2 linked regions of the Cricetulus griseus genome follow. The protein of the gene in region 1 purifies or fractionates together with the protein of each later gene. This does not show direct contact. Links are inferred from orthologs where the notes say so. Each region holds a gene or a part of one and is shown on either strand. Other genes may lie near its edges.

The links. The genes of interacting proteins can lie anywhere in the genome.
Region 2: the proteins of Dnajc7 (region 1) and Dnajb1 purify together in Homo sapiens (affinity purification with mass spectrometry; 3 studies listed by BioGRID and IntAct, with this or other methods). This does not show direct contact. The link is inferred for Cricetulus griseus from reciprocal best matches to the Homo sapiens genes DNAJC7 and DNAJB1.

What each region holds. Positions count from the first base shown.
Region 1 is NC_048600.1:113,632,622-113,636,131, reverse strand, and holds part of Dnajc7 (dnaJ homolog subfamily C member 7), read left to right. Parts: intron 1-1,425; coding exon 1,426-1,499; intron 1,500-1,834; coding exon 1,835-1,981; intron 1,982-2,175; coding exon 2,176-2,328; intron 2,329-2,950; coding exon 2,951-3,013; intron 3,014-3,423; coding exon 3,424-3,461; 3' UTR 3,462-3,510. UniProt on the Homo sapiens protein: Acts as a co-chaperone regulating the molecular chaperones HSP70 and HSP90 in folding of steroid receptors, such as the glucocorticoid receptor and the progesterone receptor.
Region 2 is NC_048596.1:160,786,306-160,790,504, reverse strand, and holds the start of Dnajb1 (dnaJ homolog subfamily B member 1), read left to right. Parts: upstream 1-1,389; 5' UTR 1,390-1,492; coding exon 1,493-1,703; intron 1,704-3,182; coding exon 3,183-3,763; intron 3,764-3,939; coding exon 3,940-4,170; 3' UTR 4,171-4,199. UniProt on the Homo sapiens protein: Interacts with HSP70 and can stimulate its ATPase activity. Stimulates the association between HSC70 and HIP. Negatively regulates heat shock-induced HSF1 transcriptional activity during the attenuation and recovery phase period of the heat shock response.

The DNA of each region.
Region 1 (3,510 bases):
CTACATTGTAAGTTCCAGTCCGGCCCAACTACAGAATGAGAAAAGATTATGCACAGGCCTAGACATCAGGTCAGGGTTACTCATGCATCAGATTTGTTGTTTTGTTTCTCTAGACAGGGTTTCTCTTTGTAGTTCTGGCTGTTTTGGAATTTACTCTGTAGACCAGGCTGACCTGAAAGTTCTGCCTGCCTTTGTCTCCTGAGTGCTGGGATTAAAGGTGTGCACCACCACCACCTGGCAATGAATGTCAAATTATTTTACTTCAGATTATCTGATACTTTGTCCTGTGAATTGTTTCTCTGTGTTCCTAGTACCCTCTGTCTGTAGGGCATTGTGTTTTTGTTTTTTAAAGTCATAGATGAGTGTGTTTCCAGAAATTCAGAGATGCCTTAGATGCCAAACCTCTTTTTGGCCAGCCACATTGGTATCAGTCTCCCTGCCCTGGCCTCCAAAGCTGATGTGTGTAAAGATGGACTGGCATGATGGAAGTATCACCTGACTCTCAGGTGTGTAGCAGCTGGCTACGCTGTGTGAGCTCCTCCCATTCTTAGCAGATGTTGTGTCTGTTGTTAGATGGAGGGGACAGACTTGGTGACATCGGTTCATAAGAACTTAGTGGGCTGGAGAGGTGGTTCAGTGGTTAAGAGCACTAGCTGCTCTTCCAGAGGACCCAGGTTCAATTCCTAGCTCCCACATGGTGACTCACAACTGTAATTCCAAGATCTGACATCCTCACATAGATATACATGCAGGCAAAACACCAATGCACATAAAATAAATATAAGTAATTTTTTAAAAAAAGAATACCACTTAGTTCCATGGGAAACAATACTTTCAAAGTCCTGACACTGCCTTTTCCCTTCAGTCCTCCCATTTTGGCCCAGGGATCCCTCTTTGCTTTTGTGCTTCTGAAATCAAATCAAGACTATGTTGAAAGTTCCCTCTATCTCCCCTCTACCTCTGAGATTGACTGTCTTAGTGGAAGCAATCAGCAGCAGCTTCCACCCTGACCTTAATCCTTCTGTGGCTCAACTAACCCCACTTGTACCCTGGGTTGGAGCTGACCCTGCATGTTTGTGGCACTGAAGATTTCAAAGCTCTTTCACGGCAGTTTTTCTGATGTTTCAGTCCAGGATAATCAAGTAGGTGCTTTCACATGACGTTTCATGAGGCACCAAGAGCTTTCTTCCCTAGCCACTGCCTGCTTCTAGCAGAGGACTGCTGGTTGGGTGCAAAATCATGAGGCTTCTTTGCCTTGAGGAACTGAAAGTTAATTTTTTTTTTAGATAAGGGATTCTGCTGTTTGGTGAAACATCCTGCCGAAAGCGTGTATGTCTTACATGAGTCATGCCATCTCCCTAGAAGGTCCCACAGTCCATTGCTCTTTGTCTCTGAGTGCTGTATTACCCTGTACTTCCTTCTCAGTTACATGGACACAGAGCAGTATGAAGAAGCTGTGCGGGACTATGAAAAAGTGTATCAGACGGAGAAAACAAAAGGTATGAAAACAAGAGGGTCATCAGACTGAGGGAGCTGTGGTCTTCTGGGTCCTAAATGTAAAATTGGGAGTATTTGATGTAGCTCTTAGGATGGACCTGGAGCTTATTTGATCACTAGCCTGAAAGCAATCAGTAGTTCCTGGGTGGGGACTTAGGCACCTGTATTCTGGTTCTAGCTCCTGCCTGTCATTTTCACTTCCTCTGTCTTCAGAAGAAAACACCAAAAAAGCCCCTTTTGTGGTTACCAAGGCTTCTCTACCCTCTGGGCAGCTGGGCTGGGACCCAGCAAGGGAAGCAATTGGATCTGTCTGTTGATGCCACCTGTCTCACTCCAGAACACAAACAGCTCCTCAAGAACGCACAGCTGGAACTGAAGAAGAGCAAGAGGAAAGATTACTACAAGATCCTGGGAGTTGACAAGAATGCCTCTGAGGATGAGATCAAGAAAGCTTACCGGAAGCGGGCCTTGATGCACCATCCAGGTGAGCTCTGCAGACAGGAGCAACAGGAAGAACTCACAGGGCAGATACAGTGGGTACCTAGGAGACGTGCTTTTCAGTGGGAAGAAGGGGTTGCTGAGCTCTCTGTCCTACACATTGTGGGAGGTGCCACATTCCAGACTTGGACATAAACAGACTTTGTTTTTCTGTGACCCTGGTTTCACTGAATCCTCTAGATCGGCACAGTGGGGCCAGTGCCGAGGTCCAGAAGGAGGAGGAGAAGAAGTTCAAGGAAGTGGGCGAGGCCTTTACCATCCTCTCTGACCCCAAGAAAAAGACTCGTTATGACAGTGGGCAGGACCTGGATGAGGAGGGCATGAATATGGGCGGTGAGTTTGTTTGGGCACCTGGAATGAAGAGGGTCCCTGCAAAACAGGTTTTTTTTTTTTCCCCCTAAAGCACCAGAAAGGGCCCTGTTGTTGTTACCAAGGCTTCTGCCCTCTGGGCAGCTGAACTGGGACACTCCAGAGGGGAAGCCTATAAGTGGTCAGCCAGTGATATAAGACTATTTAATAGGCTGTCAAAAAAAAGATGACCTAGGGCAGGAGCCTTCAGAACTGGTGTGGTCTGGAAGAAAAGAGCACATGCTAGTTCCAGGAGTCGGGATCTCCAGGTCTGCTACGTTGATTTTGGAGTCACTCAAGCGATAGAGTTGAGGCTTCTCAGTAATAGCCCCAGTGTTACAGGAAGGCAGCATAGTGCAAATGACATTTCTTAGTAAGGAGACAGTAGGCAGAGCATGTTGAGCAGAGGAGGTTTCCTTCTGGACAGCACCTGCCCTGAGTTTTAGGGCAGGGAACATGCCAGGACTGGCTGGGGTCAGCAGCAGGCCTGTCTGGGGGTGGGGCAGGGAGAGGTTTGTTAACATCTAGGCTGAAATGATGGAAAAGGAAGTGAAAATCGGACCCTTCTGATTTTTCCCTTTTTTGTCCCTTTCATGCTCCTCACCAGATTTTGATGCAAACAACATCTTCAAGGCATTCTTCGGTGGCCCTGGGGGCTTCAGCTTTGAAGGTGGGTATGCCTGCTGCTCTTGAGAGCTCCCAGGTGATGAGCCAGCACTGGCCCCTTGTTCAACAGGACGCTTATGGGCTCTAGTGTGGATGAGGCGGGACTTGGGCTTATCTTGCCTGGAACCATTCTCAGTGCACTTGGCAGGGTCAGAGATGCATCACCAAGTCCCTTGGTAGCAAGCCTTCTCCACAAGAGTAAAGGTATTCAGAAGCTACACACAAAATGCACTCCGGCCCAGTGGTAGGGTGCTTCTTGCATGCTTGCTAGTTCCTGCACTCATGGCTCAGATGATTTGGTGCCCTTGAAGTCTCTGTGTTTGGACTAAGCTGTCCTTGAAGACTTCTATAACAACCATGGTTTTCCTGAGGAAATCCACAGAGCAACTAACAAGACTTTCTTTTCCCTTTCAGCATCTGGCCCAGGGAATTTCTTCTTTCAGTTTGGCTAATGAAGGGCAACTACTCAGAACCCAGAAAATGCAGACTTGCTCAGTTTAA
Region 2 (4,199 bases), on another chromosome or scaffold:
GCCAGCTCTCTTGTTATTTCTCTAGGTAACATTGAATATTTCCAAGTGACTGGTTCAGGACATCCTCTGTTGAGCTAAAGGATCCCCTAGTCCCAATTCCATTTTGGGGGCAGGGGCTCAACTGTGTTTAGACAGAGCCCTTTTCAGTTCTCTTGGGGTCAGTGTGGTCAGGAAAACCAGAACACACACATCCGGATAGACCACCAAGAGAAGGCTAAGGTCATCTTTCTCACAGGTCTCGGGCTGTCCAACGCAAGGTTCAGCAGAGGCTCAGACGCTGCAGGGCTGCCAGAGAGGAGGTGTCAGCGTCATCCACTAAACAAGACAATTAGTCATCCCTTTGTCCCTGGTTTTTCTTGAGCACTTTCACAGATGCTGAGTAACGTCAACTTCCTATATACAGCGGCCATTCCGATTTCATAAGTGAGCACGACTGAGGCCAGAACGGCTACTTTACCAATTCAAGGTCACACAGCCAGGAAGTACTAGGATCTGGAACGAAGCCTACTCTCTCTGGCTACAGAGTCAAGGCTCGTGCTCTGACTTCCAGGTAGTTTCTCTCCCTGCAGGAACCAAAACCGACTACCCCCGCTTCTCTAAGCCTGGCAGTTTCAGAAGCTCTCTCCCCTTTGCTCTCAGCTGTGTCCTTGACCGCCATCATCCAAGACTTAAAAACCCAAAGAGTCAATTAACAGAGGTGCTCTGTTCCCCCACAGCAAGAAGCGCCCACGTCAAAGCATTCGGAAATATTTACGAAGCACCTAGTGGGTCCTGAAAAAGATGCACAGCCACGAAGCAAAATCCAATGTCTGCCCTGGTGGTGAACTCAGACAGCAAAGTGAGTGACATCTACCCGGAACGCCAAGAACCCGGCTAATTCCTCAGCAGGAAGTAAGGAAGCCTGAGTACCCGGACTGGGGCGATCCCTCGCCAGACCAGCCTCACCTCGCTTTACAGTAACGGCCTGTACGGAGCAACCGGCAGGAGAGGGTGGGGTGCGGACTTTTATCCCTGGGTGACAGCAGAGGGAACTTGGAGGGACGGGTCGGGCAGCTACAAGTCACCGGGCAGGACCGCCCAGCCGGTCTTCACCTAGGGACAGGGTGCGGCTTCGGAAGAGACCCGCCTCTGTAGCCCCGCCCCCTCCCCACGTCGTCACCAGTCGGCAGTGAGAGCGGGCCGCGATTGGCTGTCTCCACTGCGGAGGCGGGACCTCAGGCAGGGGCGCGCGCGCCCCAGGGAGGCGTTGACCAGGGTAGAGCGGGAAGGGGCGTGGCCTCGCGCGGAAGGCCGTTGGCTGCCGGGTCCCACCCCGGATGTTCTGCGTCACGGAGCGGCCGGCAGCGATTGGCCCGAGTGGCGCGGCGCGCCGGGAGGGGCGGAAGGTTCTGGAGGGCTGGCGGGATCTGGAAGCTTCCGCCGGACGGGTATATAGAGTCCGGGACAGGGCAGCTGCGGAGCCGGAGGCGGCGACAGCTGGGCGGCGGTGGCCATGGGCAAGGACTATTACCAGACGCTGGGCTTGGCCCGCGGCGCGTCCGACGACGAGATCAAGCGAGCCTACCGCCGCCAGGCGCTGCGCTACCACCCCGACAAGAACAAGGAGCCCGGCGCCGAGGAGAAGTTCAAGGAGATCGCCGAGGCCTACGACGTGCTCAGCGACCCGCGCAAGCGCGAGATTTTCGACCGCTACGGAGAAGAAGGTACGCGTGCGCGCGGCCGGGGGTGACCCGCCGTTTGACAGGCAGGGAAACCGAGGCACTCGGGGCCTCTCTGAGGCCTCGGCCCCGCATCGACGGCCCGGGGATCCGGCGGCGGTGCCGCCTCCGCCCTCTGATCGGCGGCCTCAGCCGGGAGGAGGAGCTTTGGGCGCGCCCGCCGCTCACACAGAAGCTTCTAGCACGTCTGCCGCAGCCCCTCCCGGCCGGCGGGCCGGCCGCCTGCACAGCGCCCGAACGCTGCAGACGGAGGGCGGCGGTCGCGATCGCTAGGGTGTGAGATTTTGAAAATCGCCCGAGTGTTTGTTCCTCTGGGCCCGCTAACCCGCAGGCTCAGCGCTTAACCCAGAGTTGAGCTGAGCCTTTCTGGCCGCAGTGCGTAGGAACTTCTCTGTAAGGTGTTACAGCATGGCAGAGAGGATGGGGCTGTCAAGTAGACCTGGTGGCGCCGACAGCTGCAGGCCTTACTACCGAATTGTCACGAAGTGAAAGGGAGTAATGTGTTTCCTGCTCCTGCTGCCATTGGCAGTTAAAGACTTGAGATTCACCTAGAACAAACTTAAAAATACATATAACCCCTCCCACTACGGTTCCCAGGGCTTTTTTTATTAAAAGCAAAACTTGTTGAGCCAGGTGCGGGAGCTCACACACCCCACTTTGGAGGCTGAAGCATTGTTGTGAATTTGCTTCAAATCTGAGCTACAGAATGAGCTCCTGTTTCCAAAAGAGCAGGATGTAGTGACAATCCCAGGTCTGGTATGTCTGAGTCAGGAGGATTGCCTCTAGGCTAACCTGGACTATTCAGCAAGTTCAAGGGCTATATAACATGACAGTCACCGGATCGCACTGTGTAGTTCAGGCTTTTATTTTTACTTCTATATATATGGGTACGTGTATGTATGTATGTTCACTGTGTACTTGCTTCGAGAGAAGAGGATGTTGAATCCCCTGGAATTGGAGTTAGTTGTCTGCTGTTGTGTGGGAGTTGATAATCGAACATGGTTCCTCTGCCATAGGAGCAAGTGCTCTTAACTTCTGAGCCGTCCCCAATGCCTCGTGTTGGAGTCCTGGCTGGTCTGGAACTTGCAGAGATCAACCTGCTCCTGTCTTCGGAGTGCTGGGTTTCCAAGCATTCGACACCATGTCTGGGCTTTCTATTTTAAGGATTTTATGGGTTTGTTGGTGGGATTTTTTTGTTTGTTTGTTTTGTTTTTTTCCCCCGAGACAGGGTTTCTCTGTAGCTTTGGAGCCTATCCTGGCACTCGATCTGGAGACCAGGCTGACCTCGAACTCACAGAAATCCACCTGCCTCTGCCTCCCGAGTGCTGGGATTAAAGGCATACACCACCCAACGCCAGGCTTGATTTTGTTTTGTAAATGTGTTAATTTATTGCAGTGCTAGAAATGGAAACCAAGGGCCTTGACTCTCCTACAGTAACTCTGATTTCTGATTTTGTTTTCCAGGCCTAAAGGGTGGTGGCCCCAGTGGCGGTAGCAGTGGCGGTGCTAATGGTACCTCCTTCAGCTACACATTCCATGGAGACCCTCATGCCATGTTTGCTGAGTTCTTTGGTGGCAGAAACCCCTTTGATACCTTTTTTGGGCAGCGCAACGGGGAAGAAGGCATGGACATCGATGACCCATTCTCGGGCTTTCCAATGGGTATGGGTGGCTTCACCAATGTGAACTTTGGACGTGCCCGCCCTGCCCAAGAGCCTGCCCGAAAGAAGCAAGATCCCCCAGTCACCCACGATCTCCGGGTCTCCCTTGAAGAGATCTACAGCGGCTGTACCAAGAAAATGAAAATCTCCCACAAGCGGCTGAACCCCGATGGAAAGAGCATTCGAAATGAAGATAAGATCCTGACCATTGAAGTGAAGAGGGGCTGGAAAGAAGGGACCAAAATCACCTTTCCCAAGGAAGGGGACCAGACTTCCAACAACATTCCAGCTGACATCGTCTTTGTTTTAAAGGACAAGCCACACAATATCTTCAAGAGAGATGGTTCTGATGTCATCTATCCAGCCAGGATTAGCCTTCGGGAGGTAAGGCACTAGGTGGGAGAATCATGAAAGGAGATGACTGCTCTGAGGAGCAGTGGGGGAGACTGGCTGGAGCTCAGCTGCATGGGTCTGGTGGACCTGAACCTTCTCTCTGGATGTTGGAGGAGTCAAGCTTCCTAAGCCAGCTTCCATCTAACATAGTCCTTTTGCTTTCCTAGGCTCTCTGTGGTTGCACTGTAAATGTCCCCACTCTGGACGGCAGGACCATCCCTGTTGTATTCAAAGATGTCATCAGGCCCGGCATGCGGCGGAAAGTTCCTGGAGAAGGCCTCCCTCTCCCCAAGACACCTGAGAAACGTGGGGACCTTGTTATCGAATTTGAAGTCATCTTCCCCGAAAGGATTCCCCTGACATCCAGAACCGTCCTGGAGCAGGTTCTTCCCATATAGCCACCTGCATTCTCCAAGGACTGAGCCAG